Mytilus edulis: one gene and its partner. The protein of the gene in region 1 binds, or shares a complex with, the protein of each later gene. Links are inferred from orthologs where the notes say so. Each region holds a gene or a part of one and is shown on either strand. Other genes may lie near its edges. The genes, in order: target of rapamycin complex 2 subunit MAPKAP1-like and rapamycin-insensitive companion of mTOR-like.

Region 1 (11,710 bases):
GGATACAATTTATAAATTAGATACCCTAAGGAACATTCAGTTAAAGTTTGAAAGTATTTGGCCCAGTTGTTTCAGAGGAGAAGATTCTTGAAATAGTTTACGACGACGACAGATAGACGACGACGGACGCCAAGTGATGTCATAAGCTCACTTGTCCCTTCGGGACAGGTGAGCTAATAATAATACGGAAAAAGAAACAGAGGAAAAGCAATATGTCACCCGACATTGTCGATCGGGTGACATAATTATATGTCAAATTTATAATTGAATGCAATGCAGACAAACCTGATCACATATCTAAGAACTGATTTGTTTTGCAAGTGATTTCATAATACATGTAATAAGAGAGACTAACCTTTGAAAAAATTTGTTTGTGTAATGATGTTATTTGTGAATGTTATGTATCTGTACTTGTGTTAAATGATTATGAGGAACCATAAAGTATGGAGATTGAATACACAATCATAATGTGTCGTATAGAAACGAAATAAAGGGACATTGTTCAATATATCTAGTTTACACTTATCACAAACTGTATTTCCTGAATTCAAAATTTATTACGCCCTACTTGAGCTCGAATCAAACCACAGATAAGTCAAATACTTTTGTCCTGTCCCCTAGACTTCGACATAACAAGGTTCAGCTGAATAAACAATTTCTACCATAAAACTGCTTAAAAATGCTGTGGCATATTCTGATTCATATTATCATACTTTATCTACATTTAGATTTTAAACTTTATTTTCAAATGGATGCCAAGTTACAAGAGACTTTGCAGCCTTGAGAGTTTAAAAGTATGCAGACTCATATGCTAATTTCAGACTAGAACCTTCCTGGCAAAACATGGTCGCAATCAGAACACATCGGGCCATTCAGCTTATTTGCTTTGTCAATGAAAGAGGTGTCAGGTTGACCCAGGGTCATTGCATAAATCAGCTCCCATAATGCATTGCACTTTGCTTTATCTCATTGGTCATGTGACAATCTTTCAAAGTGAATGTAAAATGCAAAAATCGATAGGTCACTGTGAAAATTGTCCAGAAAATAAAGGGTGGCAGGTTCATTTGTAGATGAAACTTACATAAATGAAGAGATAAATGAAAAAGGAAAAAATTGAAGCCCGATTAATATGGATCCATGGGTTAGGTTGATGACAGGACAGGACAAAGGTGTGTCATTATAAATATGGATTCATTTACAAGTTTCTGTCAGAGTCCATTCCACTGACATTAATACTAACCATATCCCATATCAGGGAGGATATCATAGGAACTTGACAGGTTGGTGTCAGAGTCCATTCCACTGTCACTAATACTTGAAGAATCATGTCTGGAAAAAAATATATCATTTCATTAATCATTCTCTCCTTCTTAGATTTAAGAAAATGTGGTATGAGTGCCAATGAGAAAACTTTCCATCCGAGTCACAATTAATAAAAGTAAACCATTATTGGTCATAGTTCGGTCTTCAACACAGAGTCATGGCTTACACTGAATAGCAAGCTAAAATGACTAGTGTAAAACCATGCAAACGTGAACACCAATGCTTTAATCTACACAAATAAAATGATTCAAGGAGCTCAGCCTGATACCACCACAGAGGTCAAACCCTGAAAAGTTGGGGCAAGTTTGACCAATATTTAAGCTTGATACTGTCTGAATTTGGATTGTGAGTTAAGTTTTGACATAATATGTTTCTAACACAATGTTAATGTGGTCAAAGATCTAAATCAAAGTTCTTGTAAGTACTGAAGGGTAAAGATTGCTTTATTTTATCACATGGAAGTAAAATTAAATATTGCATTTCCAATAAAGCATTTTTTGTAGTTATTTCAACTATAGTTCTGGACAATGGGAGATAACTCCAAATTTAAAGGTGATTTTAACAATGACATCATTTATATTTTTAGAACAGATATAAGATTCCTGCACCTTGCAAAAGTTATAACATGGTTTTGTGATTTGATACCTAAGCGTATATTTAAATTAATAAATTTCTGTAAGTGTTAAGGGATAGGATGTATAGAATGTTATGATCAATGCACTATATTTTGTGTATCAAAAATGTAGAGATTTTAGATATCAAGTCAGTAACATATGATTTTGATTGCATTTCATGCAATCTTTACCCAAAAAAATCTATTGTGCATTACTGTGCTATTGCACAATACTGTTCAATTGAAGAATTCTTCTTGAAACTTTTCAAAAATTTTGAAGACACACACTTTATTGTACAGAAACTTCTACACAAATCCTTTTTTTGGTCCCTTATTCCTAATCTGTTAGTACCACAACCCCAAAAATCAATCCCAACCTTTCTTTTGTGGTATTGAACCTTCTTGTATTTCATAGTTTTATTCACTTAAATTTAAGTCTGGAAACAACACTTATGGACCCCACAACAAACAACAACTACTGAACATCAGATTCCTGACTTAGGACAGGTGCAAACAATTGCAGCCAGTTTAAACGTTTTACCAACCGTCACCCTTATCTGAAACAATAGTGTTACATCACAACATAGAAAGACACACTATAAAATATCAATTGAAATGACTTAATGAACTCAATTATAAACATAAAATCACAAGTGAACTGACAACATACACCAAACGATATTCATATTTTGATAATTTTACAGCCTACCTCTTATTGACTCTTTTGCTTCAAATAAACAAGTTTTATGATATAAGTTTTTAGCTGTTGTAAACCCTATGATTTAGGACTGCTGAAATATTATACGATCAGTGATGCAATCCTTTTAAATGTTATTTCAGGGTATAGAGTGTGGTCAAAGTTAGACTGATGGTTCAGCAAAGAGTTTTGAAAATTTTTCTATCATGTATTTGTCATCATGGTCATACATGGTCTGCATCTATCATGTCTATAATCATTCTCTTTACTTTGTATGCTGAAATGAGTAATACTAATAGGAAAAGGGATTGTAAACATTGTAAACTAGACCTAGGACATCTTCATTGTAGTCATTGGTTTTACAAGCATGAGTCAGGACTAAGGATTCATATGTGATTTTAGCATGTACATGTACAGGATTGTATATACAATACTATAAATAATAAATGGGGAATGTGTCCATGGGACCCCGATGATGCCCCAGCTTGCATATACATTGTAATATAAAGTTATATAGGGACATAACATATGCACTGTTTATAACATTTTTCAAAAGACAGGTTTATGGCAAATAACACAAAGTATGTGTTTAAATGTTTCTCTAAAATGATTGTCTATACATCTGTATAGAGTATTAGACTGTTTACCTGCTTTTAGAATCATATTCATCATAATCTTCACTCTCAATAATTAATTCACACATCCCTGTGTCATCACTGGTAATGAATGAGTTTCTCAAGTGAGAGATCAGAAATCTGGCATTATCTGTCATAGCCATGGTTACAGCCTATCTGTTTAAGTAAATCTGAAGAAAAAAAACACATGTAAAAAGTACAAACCTCATACTAATACCAATATTCTAATTCTGTATCTCATTTCTTATCTACAAAGTAAGTGTTGTGACAATGTTATGTATAACTATTTGTTGTTCATTTGCAGGATTGAAATTGTCTTATTGTCATGTTCTGTGAGACCAAGCTTGATTGAAAGTAATTAATTACCATAATAACGATTACCACACCACCTTCTGTATGTGCTTGTCTCAAGTCAGGAGCCTGAAGTTTAGTGGTTGCATTGGTTCATGCCTTAAATTTGGATGGACAGCTTTCTTATATTCTAATTTGAACTACAATGTAGTTATTAAAGCATGAAAGGGCGTTTAAGGAAACTACAATTCTAATAATAGCAGATAAACTCCATAACAGATATGTGAGGGTGAAGATGAAATGCAATTTGTAATGATGATATGTTAAACATTGTATAACCAGATGCTCTGCAGGGCGCAGCTTTATATGACCGCAGAGGTTGAACCCTGAACGGTTGGGGCAAGTATGAACACAACATTCAAGCTGGATTCACCTCTAAATTTGGATTGTGATTAAATAGTTGATACAGCATAGGTTTCTGATACAGAATGAATGCAGTCTAATGAACTTAAAAAATTTTTGCCTTTGAGGAATTCACTATGCTGTTGAATATTAATCCTCTCAAAAAAATGTTTGAAGAAATTTTCTTTTTATTTATGAAATCTGTCAAAATGTCAAAATGTCGAAATCGATGTGTGACTGTAAAAACTGTCTAATAATGAGAAAATAAAGGTTGGCAGGTAAGTGAAACTTACATAAATGAAGAGATAAATGAAAAATGAACAGATTGATGCCCGATTTATATAATTCCAAGGCCGTCAGTCGGCACCAGAAGCGACGAAGCAGCGCATCTATTTTGGGTGGGCAAATATCCACTTTTTGATATGGGACGGGCTCTGACCTCCCACGGTCCCAGCTTGTCTGGCAAAACAGCCGTTGGACGTCAGAGTAATCTCGTACTAGTGTCAGTTGTTTGTTTAACTTATGGTGATTAAAAAGGTGTCAACAATACACGTAGCATAATGTCATAATCAATTATAAAGACCTAATTAAGAATTGAAAATTAATTTCCAATAACAACAACCAACCAACATCATACTTGTATTCTTCTAGTAGTCCGAGTTTGGTATAGTCCGAGTTAGGTATAGTCCGATTTTGGGAGGCCAATTATGTTATAGACCGAGTTTGTTATAGTCCGATTTTGTTATAGGCCGAGATATCATGGATTCAGCTAGTCCATCGATGTAAGGCGTCAAAGAAATCAAAGAGCTGAAAGCTCTGAAGAAAAATGACGCCACTGTCTCTAATATTGGGATAGTTTTTATGCAAGTCTTGATTTTCACATACCGTAATTAGTTTAACAATGCAACATGTCTCGTAAGCATATTATTGATATTCGTATATATATGTGTGTGTGTGAAGTGAAGGTGACAACTGGCTGTTTTTTAAGACAAATGAATAGGTCAAGACTACCTGAATTGTACAAATAAATACCGTAGAAAGGCTTGTATATTTCTCACTGGTACATAGTCTGAATCCGGTTCCGTTCGTGCCCACTCATGTTCGCCCCTTTCACTTTCATTCCCTACATGTTCGCACCCAATCTTAATTGGTTTTGTGTTTAATAACTCTGTAAGCAAGTGTTTTCTTATAAGTATAATTGTTGTCATTGTTTTTTTGTGTTGAATAAATCTTAATCATGTTTTAGATAGCGTATTGTTAAAAATTATAATAATCCTTTCTAAATAAAGTGGTATTTTGTCAACGTTTTATTTTGTGTTGAATAACTCTTAATCATGTTTTGGTTAGTGTATTGCTATAACTTTGTTTCATTGACTTCTTTCAAAATGAAGTGAGATTCTGACTATGTTTTTTTCTGTGTGTTGAATAGATTTTATCATGTTTTGGTTATAATAGTGGATTGCTATATTTTGGTTCCTATATTTTATTGTTTCGTTGTTTCAGATCAAAGGGACCAAGCTGTTAAAAACAATTATCTTTTGTGTTTTCCTTTAAAATCTTCAATGTTTTACTCATACCAAGCTATAAATACATTCAGTATTTACACCAAAGCAATTTAAAACAACAATCATGATTTTCCAATTATTCAACTTGAATTTGAATTAAAATTGGGCGCAAATGAGTAGAGTGCAAACGGACCTTCGGTGCGAACGTGCGAGGTGCGAACGTGTAGGGTGCGAAAGTGAATTGGACGCGAACAGACCTGGTACCACATAGTCTGAACCCCCTTCTCCCACAAAATATTAAGTAAATAATCTTTTTGTTACTGTTATCAAAGGTTTAATGAAACTCAGGTAATTTCAAACATTTGTCAAAGAATTCTAGTCAAACCGGCACCTGGTTAAATTGGCACCTGGACAAATCAGCACCTGGTTAAATCGACACCTGATATAGTCAATTTGTCACCCATATTAAATATAAATTTTAACAGTATTTTAAGCAAAAAGAGTAAAAATAAGTAAGGGGTTGCCAGGATTTTTTTCAGTATTTAAGCAAAAAGAGTTAAACATGTTAAATACTAACTTTCACATTTTTGGGTGTTCATGTACATTTTGTATATATTTATTTTTCTCAACTTAATGACTTTTTTGGTGTATTTTTAATGATATATATATGAGTAGTCAAAATAATTATTACGTCTGGCAAGGCTTTTTAAATTTTATTCTGGGACACCTTTCTATGACTGCAAGGCTATGTTTATTTTTTTCTGGGACGCCTTCCTACGAACTTCATAGGAAGACATCACAGAAAAAAAAATAGCCTTGCCAGACGTCATAATTATTTGGACTAATACATGAGATATTGGATATTTTTATGCATTATTTAAACCAGTTGAGCATTTTACAGGATTGTTTGTTTAATGCTTTTTAAACTTTACTGAAAAAAAACACCTTAAATTTGCTTATTATTTGGCATGAAAGTTTGATTTATTGAAAGGGACTCATAGTTTTCCATTTTATTTTAATAATTGTCTAATTGTTAAAACAACAGCTTGGGTAAGGGCTTCGTTGTTTACCTTTATACACAACAACATAGTTCACTTTGGTTTCGTTGTTTACCTAAATACACAACAACATATTCACTATGTACTTGGTAACAGTTATTAATTAATTGAATAGAAAATATTATAACAAATATTATTGGATGCCGAATTGACGTCAAATAGGTGCCGATTTGACTAGATGCCAATTTAACCAGGTGCCGACTTGACTTGTACGTTTCAATTCCTCTGCGATCGTTTGCGGTATTTTCTTGAGAAAAACCTATTTTCCATCATCAAAGAGAAGAAGAAACTGCTTGAAAATGATTCTGGAACGCTTCATGATTGTTAAAATAAGTTAAATTCACTCACTATGTTTTACAATTTTAAAACTTGCGATGTTTAAACAGGAAGTTTCAAAAGCATGTGTAAAAGAAGAAATTAACCGGTGAGAGTGGAAATCCGTACATAACAGATATCACTATAGTACGACTTTGAAAGCAAAACAGTTCCATCCTTTTGTAAAACAGTCTTTAATATACCTATCACATTAATGTTTGACGGGTCTTAAGCTTATTCAAACCATAAAAGTCGGTATGAAACACCAAAACGGAATGAACAATAACCGATTACGTTTTGTAGTTTACAAATTCTAAACTGGTTCCCGTCAAACTACAACACTTTGTTCGAGTGTAGTGGAATACAAGTAGAAACCAGTTAGTTTGTAAACTGGTTCCTGGCTGATTACTACACAATGACCTCTCATGCATAATGATAACACAAGCAAATTCCAGTTTGTATAGAAAATAGTAAATACGAAACCAAGCGCGGTAGGCAGAGAATGTAATGAAGTTCAGGTCGCCAGTAATGGAACAATGACTGCGTCATTTTCCAAAAAATTATAATAGCCTTTCAAGACGTCATAATTATTTGGACTAGGATTCAGCAGGATCATACACCAGTTTCACATTAATATTGATGAATCAAATATCAACCAACCCAGCTGTTTCACGTGACAATAATGTCTTACTTGTATTATACAATTGATGGAATGAACATCTTGAATACAAATTTGGTGTTATTAAGTTGTTTAACTTAATGTAAAAACCAAAACAAAGTGGCCGCAGGCTAAGACAAGGGAGGTAATTACGATAAAAATAAAACTCGGAACGTAACCGGAGAAGTTACGATAAAACGGAATTTGTTGATTGGTGGTGTTTCAGCCTCAGGTAATACTTCAGAAAAATAGTATTGTATTTCTAATCTACTATACTATGAAGCTTAGAATAATATATATATTTTTATCTTCTTTAAGTCGTTGGTTCTTCTTAATTTTAATTCTGTCTTGATTTACACTTCTATTCCTGAAGCTACACATGCTACATCATACATGTGCTATATATATATATATATATATAGCAGGTTAGTCCAAAAGGGTAATTCAGTATAAGTAAATTATTATGACGTCTTGGAAGGCTATTTTAATTTTTGCTTTGATGCCTTCCTGCGTTGATGTAAGGCATATTTGACAGAATTAAAGAGAAAAAATGTAATAGCCTTTCAAGACGTTATCATTATTTGGAGTACATTAGTACATTTAATCTATAATTCAGAGCTAACTGAATCTTCAAATTGCTCTGAACTCTTTAATTATTCTGCTTTTCTTTCAAATGTCTATTTCCTTTCTGTTGCTAGTAGCTATAGTGTCTGACAAACTATTTGGATGTTTTGAATCTCCAGCAGTCTTCATTATTCTCTTTTCTGGTGGTATCTTGTAAAATTAAAATGATTTATAAAATTGAGAATGGAATGGGGAATGTGTCAAAGAGACAACAACCCGACCATAGAGCAGACAACAGCAGAAGGTCACCAACAGGTCTTCAATGCAGCGAGAAATCCCTGCACCCGGAGGCGTCCTTCAGCTGGCCCCTAAACAAATATATATACTAGTTCAGTGATAATGAATGCCATACTAAACTCCAAATTGTAGACAAGAAACTAAAATTAAAAATAATACAAACTAACAAAGGCCAGAGGCTCCTGACTTGGGACAGGCGCAAAAATGTGGCGGGATAAAACATGTTTATGAGATTTCGACCCTCCCCTATACCTCTAGCCAATGCAAAAAAGTAAACGCATAACAATAGGCACATTAAAATTCAGTAGTCCGAAGTATAGGAAGTGTTCTGTGTCTTCCTCTTCACCACATTCCTATATGGTGTAAGGGATTGGCCTATCTGATGACAGTATTTATTATGTCTATTCACTCTATTGTATACTTTCACTTTGCCTGTTATAAATTTCGACATGATTCTCCCTATGGATTCTCATAATCAAGTGAATGGGTCTTACTCACAGTAGGAACTAGTTCATGTAGTTGTCTCCCAGTTTCACTTCTAGTCCATTTTTTTTTTGCCATGTCAGATGTATAAAATCTATACTTCAGTGAACTGCTCTTTAAGCATGTTAAGTCATGTAAGTGTGTAAATGTAGAGTTCAAAAACCAATAGGATAGCTACGAGTTACATGTAAGCTAAGAGTATTGTCACTATTTAGACTGCTAGCTACTGCATGGTTTAAGCTAGTTCCTTTATTCGGCTTTAACTCTAAATGAAGACTATTTCACATATTGTATATTTGTTTATCAAAAGTTTCTGTTGAGCATATCCGTTAATTATTAGTATAATTACATGCATCACAGTAAACCCATATTTGTTTTGCCTATCAAAAGTTCAACTGGAAACTTCATGGTGAACTTTGTTATAATTTAAACAATACTATATAATATACATATATTTCTATTCAGCTGTTTGAACAAATATCATGTCATCATTATTCCTGTAGGAAAAATACTGTAATATTTGTTCCAATGAAAATTATTTTACTGCTTAATATTTTTTTTTCCATTTGGAAATCTTGGAACTTATTTTATAAAGGAAATTCTATTTCATGATAGTACTTATGTATGAAACAAATAACCAACAGACACATACACATGTACAAGATAATCACCACAAAAAAGACTAGAGACCCACAAATATTAAAAAAACATACAAATACACAGGGGCGGATCCAGCCATTCCCTTACCAAAAAGTGCTAACATGTTGCACATAAGTTGCACATAAGATGCTCACGTTAGAAACTAACATGATTGCACACGAGTTTTTTAACATGCAAATTAGGTGAGCATTTTGTGAGCAAAAAAATTGCACATATGAAACTAACCTAATTTGCATGTTAAAAACCTCACGTGCAACTGCTCATATGAGCTTTTGTTTCACATGTGCATTTTATTAGATTGCTCATATGAGCAGTTGCTAACATGTTGCACACGTGAATATTATAGTTGACCAAAACAAAATGGCTGCTTTAAAAAATGAATATTTTTCAAATTTAAATGAAAATCTTAAATAATTCAGTTGAAAATAAAATAACTGATACATCATGTAAAAAGAGTTATTCTTTAATTATTGTCAGTTAATTATGATTTTCATATGATTTTTTTTTTTTATTTATTTAAACAATAATCATGATCATGACTAAAAACATAACATTACATTATAAAACTAATAGAGGGACTTGCAAGTTTAGTACACAATGAATATCTTTGATTAATAAGTACTGTATTTCAAAAAGTTTAAAAGGAAAAATCTTTATACATGTAGTACTTATTTTGAAGCAACCTGTATATATATTCCCATAAAGGACTTAAAATTGTAATATATTTCAAAATCTGACACAAAAATGAAAATAATGAAATAGAAATGATAACTTACAAAAATAATTAACCACAGCCACACTGGTTTTATCAGATTTCAACAATGCCTTTCTTCAAATAGCACAATATAGGACTTAACATTTTCCATATCCATCTACCTTCATTTATTGCATGCTTTTCATGAATTTGAATTTACAGGAAGTACATGACTGGGCATGTCATTTTGAAAAAGCTCATATGAGCAATGATGTAGGTTAGTTTTGAATGGTTAGAAGAATGGAAAAACTTTTCAAAGTACAAAACTAACATAAAACTAACATGGATGATAAAAGCTCACCTGAGGTTTGAATTGCACATGTGAGCATTATGTTAGATTTTTGTGGGCACATATGAACTACCAAACTGCACATATGATCAACCTGATTTGCATACAATTCTTATTTGCATCTCATGTGCTTCACATGTGAAACTTATGTGCTTTTGTTAGCAATTTCTGTACGGGTAATAAAAAGGGGGGTTTCCCATCCCAGAGTAAAGGGGGGTTCCAGCTATATGCTCCCATTCAAATGCATTGATCGGTAAAAAAAAAGGGGGGTTCCAACCCCCAGAACCCCCCCTCTGGATCCGCGCTTGAATACATCAGTTCTAAACAAAGTATAGATAACAGTATTTCTTTCCAAATATACACATAGTCATAAATACATGATTGATAACATGTATTAATAATTACCAAACATCATTTGTTTAACAGTAAAGATCTAGAATGACTTTTAATTGATAAGGAGGGTGAACAGACTCTGTAAGAAAATGATCCCTTGGTAACATGTGTCAAAGCTGTAAGCAAATATAGGCAACCATCATGACCATATGGCCTTAATAATTAATGAGAAAATCCTTACAAAATAGATGGCTACGAAATGCCCCTTCTTGAATAATATGTAATGTCGATTACAATTACAAAACTATTGACCTTATGTATAATAAACAATTATGAACAAAGATGACTGACATAAACCAACAACAACCACTGACCTACAGGCTCCTGACATGGGACAGTCTGACTGCATCATAAAGAAATACCGGTAAACGGGATTATGCATGTGAACGCTCAACTCTCCCCTTACCTGTTACAGTGGTGTAACAGCACAACATAAAAACAAACTATAAAAATGTGTGAAAATCAAGTAAATTTTGCAGGGCTGAAAAACTATCTAAAAGAAAATCTAATACTAGAAAAGATTATATTTTTTAAAACAATTTAAGCCTCTTTACATTGCCAACCTCTACTGGGACCCCTGGTTTCATTTTTTTGTTTTGTACACATCCCCTTCAGCCATGAATTGTACCATTTGATTATTTCAGTGAATCTTCAATCTTTCATATTGGTATTCATGCCATCAGTATTATAGTGACAGAAGAAAGGAAGATCCACTTTATCAATCCGATGAGATGAATCTTCTGCCTCAAAGCCACACAGAATTTCATTCTCCA
Region 2 (11,710 bases), on another chromosome or scaffold:
CAGTGCATGTCAAAGCAACACCTTCTGGTGTCCTGTACTGAAAAAATCAACATACCTTACATGGCATATAAGAAAGAACTGGTTCCCGGAACTTCGGATGTACCAAAACAGGTACTTCCGATCTGACAAAAAGGCAAAATGTACCCTCCTTTTTAAATTTCATGCCATTTTTTTATTATTCAAATTTATCAGTCAAAAATTGTTCTACAATGAAGCTTTCATTTGATACCAAAATTAATAAAATATTCTAAATATTTTGAAAGTTATGTCCATGCGTAGGAACTATTTTGTGTTAAATATGTACTACTTTCTGGTATGTGCTTTCTGGCCGGGCCCGAATTAGTGGTGTTACACCTAATAGCCTTTCAAGATGTTATAATTATTTGGACTAGGTACATGAGACTAATGCACCTTATTGCTATTCCAGGCTGACCCAGAATCTTTCCCACTTGAACTTCTGACGTCATACAACAATCACTTTGGCGTCAGATATTTTGTATCATGATGTCAAAATTTTACTGGAACCTGTGTGATGTCCAGTAATGGCGGACAAATAGCGATCAGTGTATACTGCCTTCTCCTCATTCCGGTGTATCCCTGATTCCGGTGTAATGTTAAATTGCGGGTATTTGTTGAACTAAAAGCGCGTGCAAGGGTCAGGGGTTACAGGTTACAGACAACTGGTGCATCGCTGTCATCAAGAAATGTAAATACGTCAAACAGTCTTCATTACAGGTAAATATATATATATTAGCGCACGATAGTATGATTTCCATAATTCCCAAATTCATGCATATGCCATAAAATATCAAGCCATCTAAAAATATTGAATAATCATCCCAAATCGATTTATTGTTATTGATTTCTCGTCTGCCATTTGCAAGGCGTCCCAAACAACAGTCACGTGATGATACAGCCTCGATATGACTCTGAAAAATCTATGGAAAGCCTGATTAACAAAAATGAACACTTTTACAGTTTATTTTAGAAAAAAGTTATTAATCTCGTTTTTATGTTTATGAAACTATTTATGTTGATTGAATTTAATAAAAATTAATAAATATGAATATGAAGAACATATTACTGTGATTAAAGGACAAAATGCTTGCACAATAATTATTAAAAGAAATGTGCTTTATAATTAATTGAAGGTATAAAGGGGGGGGGGGGGGATGAAAATATTTTTTTCAAACTGAATTTAAGATTTTACTGATCTTTTGTAAATGTTTATGTCTATTCATTTTTATTACAGATATTTTTACAATGAAGAAAAAGCAGTATGATCCAAATGCGTTAAAATTTGCCTATGATGCTGTACAAAATGGAATGTCTGTTTACAAAGCTGCAAAAAACTATGGTATTCCAGAAAGCACGCTTAGAGATAGGACACTTGGTTTGGTTTCTGTGGATGGGAGATGCTCCAATTACCTTTTTGATGAGTCTACAGAGAAAAAAATGGTGGACCACATTGCACATATGGCCAGCATTGGTTATGGTTATTCAAGAATAGATGTCATTTATCTAGCAACTGATTTAGCTGTGTTTATGGGCAAGAGAAAACCTCAAGAGGATATATTGAGCAACAAATGGTATTACTCTTTTATGAAAAGATGGCCAAATCTAACTATTAGTAAACCACAGAAATTATCCATGCAGAGAGCTAGATGTGCATCAAAGGAGACACTATCTAACTATTACAAAGAGTTGGGCACTATTATGACCAAAAACAATCTGCATGAACAGCCACACAAAATATTTAATATGGATGAGAGTGCTCTACAAACTGAACATAGCCCAGGTAAAATTGTTCATGACATTGTTGTTAAGCCCCAGTCTGTCACATCGCCAAGATCTGCAAATGTCACTATAATTGGTGCTGGCAATGCAATTGGAAATGCTGTTCCACCTTATTATGTATTTCCGGGTGTTAAATTTGACAGGGCTCTACTTCTTGATGGGACTCCACCTGGTTCTGATGGCCAATGCAGTAAATCTGGATGGTCTAACAGTGAAATATTCAAAATGTACCTGGAAAAGCATTTTCTCAAGTATGTATCACATGATGTCTCTGGCACTCCTCTTCTTATATTGTTTGATGGCCACCGCTCACATGTGAGCTTAACTTTGCAAGATTGGGCTGAATCAAAGAACATCATTCTTTTCATACTTCCACCACACTGTAGCCACATTTTACAGCCATTAGATATAGGGTGTTTTGGACCATTAAAGGCTTGTTACAACCGGGAGGCACAGTTGTTTATGAGAAAAAATCCAGGATGTAAAATTACAAGGTATAACATAGGACAAATGTCTTGTTCTCCCTACCAGAAAGGTCTATCTGCACAGAACTTGATATCATCTTTTAGGAAAAGTGGGATATATCCTTTTAACCCAAAAGCTGTTGACACCAGCGAACTTGCTCCAGCTACAATTTACCCCACAGCTACATCAGATGAAGCAAGTACAATGAATAATACACAAATTTCACAAGAAGATGACAACACTTCCTCTCAGCAATTCAACAAAGCTGCCACTCTGACGATACAACAATTTGAAGCTTCATCATCAGCCCAAAAGGAACAAGATATCTCATCAGATCAAGATGAATCAAATAGTCAACCGTTGCTTACTCTAGTTCCTCCTGAAAGCAGGTACTCTGATGACATTCAAATATATACCGCAGAACCAATAATTGAATTGAACACATCAAACAACTCTTCGAATATAACCACATGTACAGTAAACAGTTCTCCATCCGGATTCCTGCTAAAAAGAAATGTTGTTTCAGTTGAAAAGACAGAAAAGAAAAGGAAACACTTCACAATCACAGGAAATTTAGGAAAAAAGAAAAATATGGATCATCTGAATCAGTCAAAAAAGAAAGGAACTTTTAAACCACCCTATAAAAAAGCAGAGCCTAAGACAGTTGAAAAGGAAACTAGAAATCAAAACAAAGCAGGAAAAGATACCAAAAAGAAGGCACCTGTAAAAAGAAAAAGTTCAACTGTGATGGAAAAAATTGAAAAAAAAATTAGATTATCAGAGGATGATGTTAATGCAGGTCTTGGTACATCTGGTTTAAACAAGGATAAAGGAGGACCAATATGTCTTGAGAATTCATTTAGTGACAGTGATGAAACCGATGATGACGACGGTGAAACTTGCTGTGTTTGTAATAAGAAATCTCCCTCAGAGATCAGACAACTAGCAGGAATTGTGTTTGTCAAATGGGCACAATGTGACAATGATAACTGCCGTCACTGGACACATCTCCAATTCTGTAGTGATGTTAGAGTCTTGCGGAGAGGGGATACTTTCTTTTGTCCACACTGTAAAGAACAGTAAACTGTCCAATATACAGAACACTATTCCAAAAACTGTTATTCTGATTTAAAAAAAAACAACAAACAATAGATTTAAAAGAACTGTTTAATATTAATGTAATTTTTCTATTTATTCAGTTAAAGTAGATTTTCAAAAAGTGAAACTTTGTGAAATATTTTTTTCCCACTATTGACATCAAAATAGAATTATTAAAATAATTTCCACAAAAGAGTGAAAGTAAAACAAAAATTTGAATGAGAATTTTTTTTTTTTATATAAATTTAGAAAAAAAATCTTGCATATATTGGACTTTTCAACATTTTTCATCTTGTCAAAAATAATTTGTGTATTTGTCCTAAATAAAATCGTGTTTTGCTGATCTGTACTTCTTACTAGAATATTAGCGTTATTTGATGCACAAAATAAGGTGCATTAGTGTTCCAAGTTGTCCTCCATACTATATTTTACCTTTGCACCGGAAAGAGGTTAATAGCAAAAACAATGATGGGTGGTGATCACCGATTTTCAATCATTTATTAAACTGATAAAACTTGACAAATGGGTAACATATTATGCATCATTGAAGAGCTAAATAACTGAATTTTATTTATTTCAATCATATTTGTTCCGTTTAGTTCGAAAAATGCGTTTGGAATAATGATTAACATTTTGACCACCGGAATGGGGTTAACCCAGTATATAGGGTGTCGGAGCTAAGGGGTGACAGACCAATTGGGCGTCAGACTAGTAGAGTTACCATGTTGGCGTATCAGGTCGACCCAAAAAAAATCATCACACCTTATATCTGGGGGGTTTTCAGGTACATGTTTAAATGAAAACGCTTCAAAAACATACTTTACAAGTTGAAAGATCAACTTTTAAAATCTGTCCTGCAAATGCACCATCTTTTTCAACCTCAGGAGCAACCATGTAAAAGTTTCCATCCTTATCAAACACTGGACCTTCCGACCCTAATAATTTGTCAGCAATCTTTGTAAATTCGTGTTGTGAAATTTTAGGGGCACCTGTGTCGGCCATGGTCAAAGTAGCTTTTGCTTGTCGTAAATTAGACAAGATGTAAACAAAGTAGTTTTGATTTACTTCAATAAATAAATTATTTTCAAATTGGTATTAAAATCTGAAGAGAACAAAGATTATTTTACAATTTAGTTGCCTTGTATCTTGCTATCGAATAATTTTACGACTAGCCGTAAAAATAGGAAGTAAAAATATGGCGGCCGTTGGGGCTCGCCAGGGCATACGGTCACACAAAACAGGGCGTTTTAAATGTATGTAAATCTTTCATGAAATCCTATTTACATTACATATCTCAATTATATCCTTAACTTTGTAACTATGTACTTTTTTCTTTCATTTCAGCTCGAAATGACAGTGGCGATGAAGTTTTTCGATTGGACTTTACCAAAGGTTTGTTATTTATGAAATGTCAACTTTATAATTACAACAAAAACAACTTGCTATGGGGAAACAAATATTCTCACAGTTGAAAAACATTGCACAACTACTGTCATTTTATAAGATTTGATTTACTGTGAATTTGAATTGTGCAGATCTGCCTGTCAGACCTGTCTACAGACAGGACATAACAGGCCTATTACAGTATCCATCATCTAAATGTACCATTTGGTGCATATTTCCCCTGGAAAAATTGACATATGAAGCAAATATCTTTACACCACATGTCATATGCCGAGTTTCCCCAAAATGACCTCAGGTAAACTTTGGCAGTGCATTCATAAATGAAAATTTCGGAAGCTTGTGTAGAGTTTGTGTATACACCTTATCGCTAATAGGGCTCTTCACGGTTAGTTCAACCATATTTGATAGGGGGCAGATTTTCATAATGGAGGTAAAAATGGTGTGAAAAATACAAGAAAACATCATATAAACAGAGCAGTTGCTTGAGGGGGGATAGGACCTTTATCGGGACTACGGAATCAGGTCTTTTAAGCTTGGGATTTCAGGATTGACCCTTATGTGAACCGGGAATTCTTTTTTGTGGATTTTTGGGACGTCAGGATTTAAAGTCTGGGATTTCAGGATCAGGACCTCTCCTATCCCCACATGCACTCTTGCTTGGAAACACACATAGGATTTCCCATACTTTCATACTATTTTCACATCTTTCTAAAAAAATCTGCCCCCTATCCAATATGGCCGAACTAACCTTGAAGAGCCCTATCCCGGCTGACCCGAGAATCTGTCCCGCTTGAACTATTGTCACTAGATATATGTTAAATATTGAAGTAAACAAATTCAGAAAATAAAATCATTTTAGTCATTTTGTCAATTTGATGTACAGTTCAGAATATATTTCAATTGGTTGGTTTTCTTTTTTATGCATACTGTGGATTCATTTATTTTCATTGGTATCAATTTTGGTGGATTGCTGAAAACTTTCATTTTCGTGGATATATAATTTCATGGTTTTGCCAATCTCTGTATATAAAGCCTATTGAAAATATGTTATTCGCTGAACATATGAATTTGTGGTTCATCTGTACCCACGAAACCCACGAAAATTGGTATCCAACGAATAAAAATGAATCCACAGTATCCAAGGGAGTTTCCCTAGGTAATTTGCGTCAACCAATTTGTTTGTATTAAGGGACTTTGATGTTAGTTTGAATGAAAATCAGAAATATAAATTAAAATGCTTGTTGAACACATTTATCTGATTAAAAATTGAATAAACTGGCCTTTCTACCTGCCACTAGTGAAAGCTGTGATGAATGCAAATCTTTCTTTAATTAATTGGTTTTCAAGTGCTTAGATATATGAGAACCCCCCCCAATTATTTTGTTTTTGTTTTAAATTGAAATTTTAATTATTCGAAGTAAATAGTATGACCCCCCTAAAAATAAGAAAAATCCCCCCCCCCCCCCCCCCATTTTTTTTAAATTTAAAATTTCAAAATATATATATCAATTCACCAAACAAATTTGACAAGACAGATTTTTTGCAGTGGTCTAAAACATTACAGAGAAAATGATTTCGGTATTTGTTTGATGATTGATGAAACAGACTATACTTAATAGACATTGAATTATTCCTCTTAGTACAAGAAAATGTTAAAGAAAAACTCTGGTTGTTCCCCTTGTATTCATTTGTTGTTTAATATAAACAAAAAAAATGAAATACTATTTTCTCAGGCGTGCAAGAACATACAATCAAATGTTTGGTTTTATATTGCTCTAATTGTAGATGACTGTTTAAAAAACCAAATTTCATTGGGTTATTTTGATATTTACAAAATTAAGTTGAAAGGCTACAAACTGACTTTCACCATCATGTCAGACCATACAGATAACAGCTATGATTTCTACTGTGACTCACAGGATCTGTTTTATTCTGCAAGAAAGTCTTTAAATATATACATGATATAAGATCATAAACATCGACGAACTGTTCTTTTGAATAATTTTTTCTATCAAATAGATTAAATATTTCTGGATATTATCAATAATTGGAAAATATATATATATACAGGTACACATGTTTATCATGTAAAAAAATATGTTTCCTTATTACATACATGTACCAGGTTGACAATACAATTTGAACTATTGACACTAGAAAACATCACTTACTAGATATCTAAACTCAAATAGATAACACATTTATTTTTACTGTTTAACAATGTTTAATGCAACTTACAGCATTATTGGCAAGTTATTACTGTCGGTTTAAGCCAATTGAGATGAAGCTAGCAATCCTGGTGAAGAAAGATTGGAGTTGAAGTCACAACCTCAGTGTTGAAATGCTATTGATACAGAAGATGAACTACTTATAAAAAAGAAGATGTGGTATGATTGCCAATGTGACTACTCTCCACAAGAGACCAAAAGACACCAAAATTAACAACTATAGGTCACCTTACAGCCTTCAACAATGAGCAAAGCCCATACTGCATAGTCAGCTATAAAGGCCCTGAAATGACAATGTAAAACAATTCTAACGAGAAAACTAACAGCCTTATTTATGTACAAAAAATAAACAAAAAACAAATATGTAACACATAAACAAACGACAACCACTGAATTACAGGCTCTAGACTTAGGACAGGCACATACATTCAGAATGTGGCGGGGTTAAACATGTAAGACCACATGGCCTCCAAGGCTATTAGCAGATAATTGATCATTCAGATTAAGTCTGTAAATTAAAACACTGAACGATTGTATACTTCCAAGGAAAAATTTATTCTGTTTTCAAATTTACCCTAGCTATGATTCTGCATCTAATATACCCAAGAATTACAAATGTACAAATGTAGTGTTTTTTTGTACATATATATAGGTAGACTGAGGCCATTACTAATCAACAGTCTTGTCATACTTGTGATTGTGATTCAAAGTCCTGCAAATAACTTGAAGAAAGCATTTGTTTATTTTATTAATGGGTATTGGTAGTTGTATAAATCTTATTTTATTTTAGGCCCAACAGATAATTTGAAGGAAATACTGGTGAATACTATTGCACAAATACAGACTTCTAAATCAAGAAAACTGGGCTACTTAAATGCCTTTGTTAAGTTCCTACAGAAATATAAGCAGGAGAAAATTACTGGATTTTCAAAAAGAGATATTTTAAGCTGGTAAGTATTTAGCTGTACATGGTAATCATATGGTATCATCATTTAACCAAACTTTAGAAAGCAGTTTTCTTTAGTTTTTATCAACCATGTATGATAATAAATTGATATTTGATCAAATATTTTCAATGAAAAAAATATTTTCCATTAATAATACAGAGTTCATTTTTATACGACCGCAAACATTAAACAAATTTTAGTCGTATATTGGTATCACTTTGTCAAAGTCGTCTGCATCGTCCGAAGATGAATTGTTTCCGGATAATAGCTTTTGAATAAGTAAAAAGAAATCAATAAAATTTTAACACAATGGTTATAACCATAAAAGGAAGCTTTGGATTGATTTTTGGGGATTTGGTCCCAAAGGTTTAGGAATTAGGGGCCCAAAAAGGCCAAAAACAGCATTTATCTAGTTTCAGGACAAAAAGTTGTATATGAGTATTTCAATTGTTATTTAATTGTACTACAATGTATAATTCCATAAGTAGAAGGTTGGGATTTATTTTAAGGGGTTATTGGGCAAAAAGTTTAGGAATTTAGGGCCAAAACAGGGCCAAAACAAACATTTTTCTAGTTTCAAGACAATAACTTGTGTGTAACTGTATGGATCTCTCTGACATTGTACCACAAGTTTCCATATAACACAGAGAAGGCTGGGATTCAGTTTGGGGTTAATTTTCTTGAATATGTAGGAATAAGGGGCCAAAAAGAAGCATTTTTCTAGTTTACAGACAATAACTTATGTTTAAGTGCATGGATCTCTATAAATTTTTATAAGAAGGTTCAATACTACTAAAGGAAGGTTGGGATTGATTTTGGGGGTTATTGTCCCAATAGTTTAGGAATTAGGGGCCAAAAAGGGGTCCCAAAATAATCATTTTTGTAGTTTTCAAACAATAACTTATGTTTAAGTGTATGAATCTCTCTGAAATTAAACCACAAGTTTCCATACCATGAAGGGATGGTTAGGATTGACTCTGAGGGGTTATGGCTCAAAATGTTTCAGAATTAGGGGCAAAAAAGGGGATAAGCTAGGTATTTCTGGTCAATGGACAATTAAGACAATTTGAAAGCAGGGTAAGGGAGGTAATTCTAAAACATTTAACATACAATGTTGGGTATGTTTGGATTTACCTCCCTTACACTACTTTTATATTATGTATAAAGACATGTCAGGTTTTGGACTAATTGCAAAAAAAGGGGGGGTAGTTGTTTTCAATTATTTTTTTTCAAATTTCTCAAATTCCAAATTTTTGAAAAGTTCAAAGAAGAAATCTTTAATTGCACAACATTGTGCAATAGATTTGTAAGATCTTGACCCTTGTTTAGTGTCAGAAACTCATATTATGTCCAAAAAAATTTCGCAATCCAAATTTAGAGCTGTATCAAGCTTGAATGTTGTGTCCATACTGGCCCCAACTGTTCAGGGTTCGACTTCTGCGGTCGTATAAAGCTGCACCATGCGGAGCACCTGGTTTCACATTTATATTGCATTGCCTAACTCCTGATTTTAAAAGAATTGATCGATTGGTGCAAACAAATGCAGTGGGTTTAAACATTTTTAAAACAGACACCAAACTTCACTGTAACCTGAAACAATAGTGAAACATCACAACATAGAAAAACACACTATAAAATATCAATTGAAATGGCTGAACTCTATCAAATGACATATGAACAAAAACAAGCAAACATACAAAAAACAAATAAATATGATCTATTACAAAATGTAAATTTATAAAAATTTATGAACTTCTAAGAGTTTAAACTTATATTAAAATTCTGTACTACCCCTACCTTTATTTTTGGTCTGCCTCAGAATTAATTTTTCATGGGTATCTTGTGTTTTTATGCTGATAACATTCCCAAGTTATGTCTCGATGATATGAAACAGAGATCTATAGTACTGAGACTACAGTTATTTTGTTTAAACTGAATGGACAAAGTAAACTTACTATTGGTTAGTTTCTGATTAAGGATTTTTTGTCTTGAGGTTGCAGTCTTGTAATTGACTGCTCCATAGGCTTACATGCAAAACAGCTGATCTTTGAAAATAAAAAAATAAAAAATGCTACATAGAAAAAAAAAATCATGTTCATATCATGTATGTACTAATGTGAAATTGTGATTTAATCGGGAAAAAAAAGGGGTCTTGCCACGAAGAATAAAAAGTTACGCAATCCTGAAGTCAAAACATTGTTTTTCTACTTTCTGTTTGCTATTTTTACTAGGCCACACCACTTCCAGTAAACATGATATCCTTCCACTTTCCTGGATTGATATCCCCAAAAGATGCAAGATTTTTTTTAAAGTCTATATATATGTTTCAATTCAGCATAAACCTATAATCAAACAGAAAAAATTGAGTTCAGAAAAAAAATCAGAAAAAAATGCACTATTTTGTTTCCCTCCATGTTTTGACATGCACCGGAAACTGGAGTTGTAATACAAGACTGGTACCTTGAATCCATGGATTTTGATTGATAATTCTTTATGATGATATTTCAGTTTGAGAATAAGTTTGTTTCATGAAGCAAAAGAAGTAAGAGCAGCTACCTTAAGAGTTTTACGGTACTTTATACAAGATGGTGAAGCTGTAGACTTGGTATATGCATTACAGATAGATTATTTGATTGTAAGGTATGTAAATCAGTTAATGAACAAAGAGATGTAGGGTATACATTGATGCCACATTAACCAAACAGCACAATAAAAAATGAGACATCTAAAGATTAATTTTTCAATTTAACATGAAGATTTCAACAATTGTAAAACTCTAAATCATTTAGGGAAGTTGTGAATGACATGTACAAAGATTAGCTAAAGTCAGCAATCAATGCCAAACTCACTAAACAACTGGAACTTGGATGTATGACCATGCAGCAGGGTCAAACAACTTTTGTAAGCACTGATTCCACCTCTTTCTCCTGAATGTATGAACTTATAATTCCTTTGTAATATATGCAGACAAGGTGGACTAGTTTATTCTGGTATATATATATATTAAAATTATTAAAACAAGGTAAATTTTTTGTAATTGATTGGAGGGGGTGAAAAATGAACACATTTTGGCTTCATTTATAATTTCTTAGATATAACATGTTTTACATAAGTAGTTTAAGATGTTAGATATAACATGTTTTACATAAGTAGTTTAAGATGTTAGATATAACATGTTTTACATAAGTAGTTTAAGATGTTAGATATAACATGTTTTACATAAGTAGTTTAAGATGTTAGATATAACATGTTTTACATAAGTTGTTTAAGATGTTAGATATAACATGTTTTACATAAGTTGTTTAAGATGTTAGATATAACATGTTTTACATAAGTTGTTTAAGATGTTAGATATAACATGTTTTACATAAGTTGTTTAAGATGTTAGATATAACATGTTTTACATAAGTTGTTTAAGATGTTAGATATAACATGTTTTACATAAGTAGTTTAAGATGTTAGATATAACATGTTTTACATAAGTTGTTTAAGATGTTAGATATAACATGTTTTACATAAGTTGTTTAAGATGTTAGATATAACATGTTTTACATAAGTTGTTTAAGATGTTAGATATAACATGTTTTACATAAGTTGTTTAAGATGTTAGATATAACATGTTTTACATAAGTAGTTTAAGATGTTAGATATAACATGTTTTACATAAGTAGTTTAAGATGTTAGATATAACATGTTTTACATAAGTTGTTTAAGATGTTAGCTATAACATGTTTTACATAAGTTGTTTAAGATGTTAGCTATAACATGTTT

Evidence for each region.
Region 2: the proteins of target of rapamycin complex 2 subunit MAPKAP1-like (region 1) and rapamycin-insensitive companion of mTOR-like are in contact, whole or in part, in a cryo-EM structure (PDB 7PE7), measured with the Homo sapiens proteins. The link is inferred for Mytilus edulis from reciprocal best matches to the Homo sapiens genes MAPKAP1 and RICTOR. Residues at the interface, in NP_001006618.1 of Homo sapiens: Ala2, Phe3, Leu4, Asp5, Asn6, Pro7, Ile9, Ile10, Leu11, Ala12, His13, Ile14, Arg15, Gln16, Ser17, His18, Thr20, Ser21, Asp22, Asp23, Thr24, Met26, Cys27, Met29, Val30, Leu31, Ile32, Asp35, Val36, Ser84; in NP_689969.2 of Homo sapiens: Arg108, Gln137, Glu140, Thr144, Leu147, Arg148, Arg151, Lys152, Thr155, Arg182, Met183, Arg185, Ala186, Ala189, Cys192, Glu193, Leu196, Leu220, Arg222, Ile223, Glu225, Ala226, Leu227, Thr229, Thr230, His233, Asn236, Arg293, Trp295, Glu844.

What each region holds. Positions count from the first base shown.
Region 1 is NC_092345.1:75,930,080-75,941,789, reverse strand, and holds the start of target of rapamycin complex 2 subunit MAPKAP1-like, read right to left. Parts: upstream 7,665-11,710; 5' UTR 7,531-7,664; intron 3,439-7,530; 5' UTR 3,412-3,438; coding exon 3,281-3,411; intron 1,330-3,280; coding exon 1,241-1,329; intron 1-1,240. Other genes in the region: eEF1A lysine and N-terminal methyltransferase-like, read left to right, coding at 11,669-11,710. UniProt on the Homo sapiens protein: Component of the mechanistic target of rapamycin complex 2 (mTORC2), which transduces signals from growth factors to pathways involved in proliferation, cytoskeletal organization, lipogenesis and anabolic output.
Region 2 is NC_092344.1:106,558,392-106,570,101, forward strand, and holds the start of rapamycin-insensitive companion of mTOR-like, read left to right. Parts: upstream 1-4,536; 5' UTR 4,537-4,555; coding exon 4,556-4,613; intron 4,614-4,704; coding exon 4,705-4,752; intron 4,753-7,782; coding exon 7,783-7,942; intron 7,943-10,447; coding exon 10,448-10,579; intron 10,580-11,710. Other genes in the region: diisopropyl-fluorophosphatase-like, read right to left, coding at 4,180-4,362. UniProt on the Homo sapiens protein: Component of the mechanistic target of rapamycin complex 2 (mTORC2), which transduces signals from growth factors to pathways involved in proliferation, cytoskeletal organization, lipogenesis and anabolic output.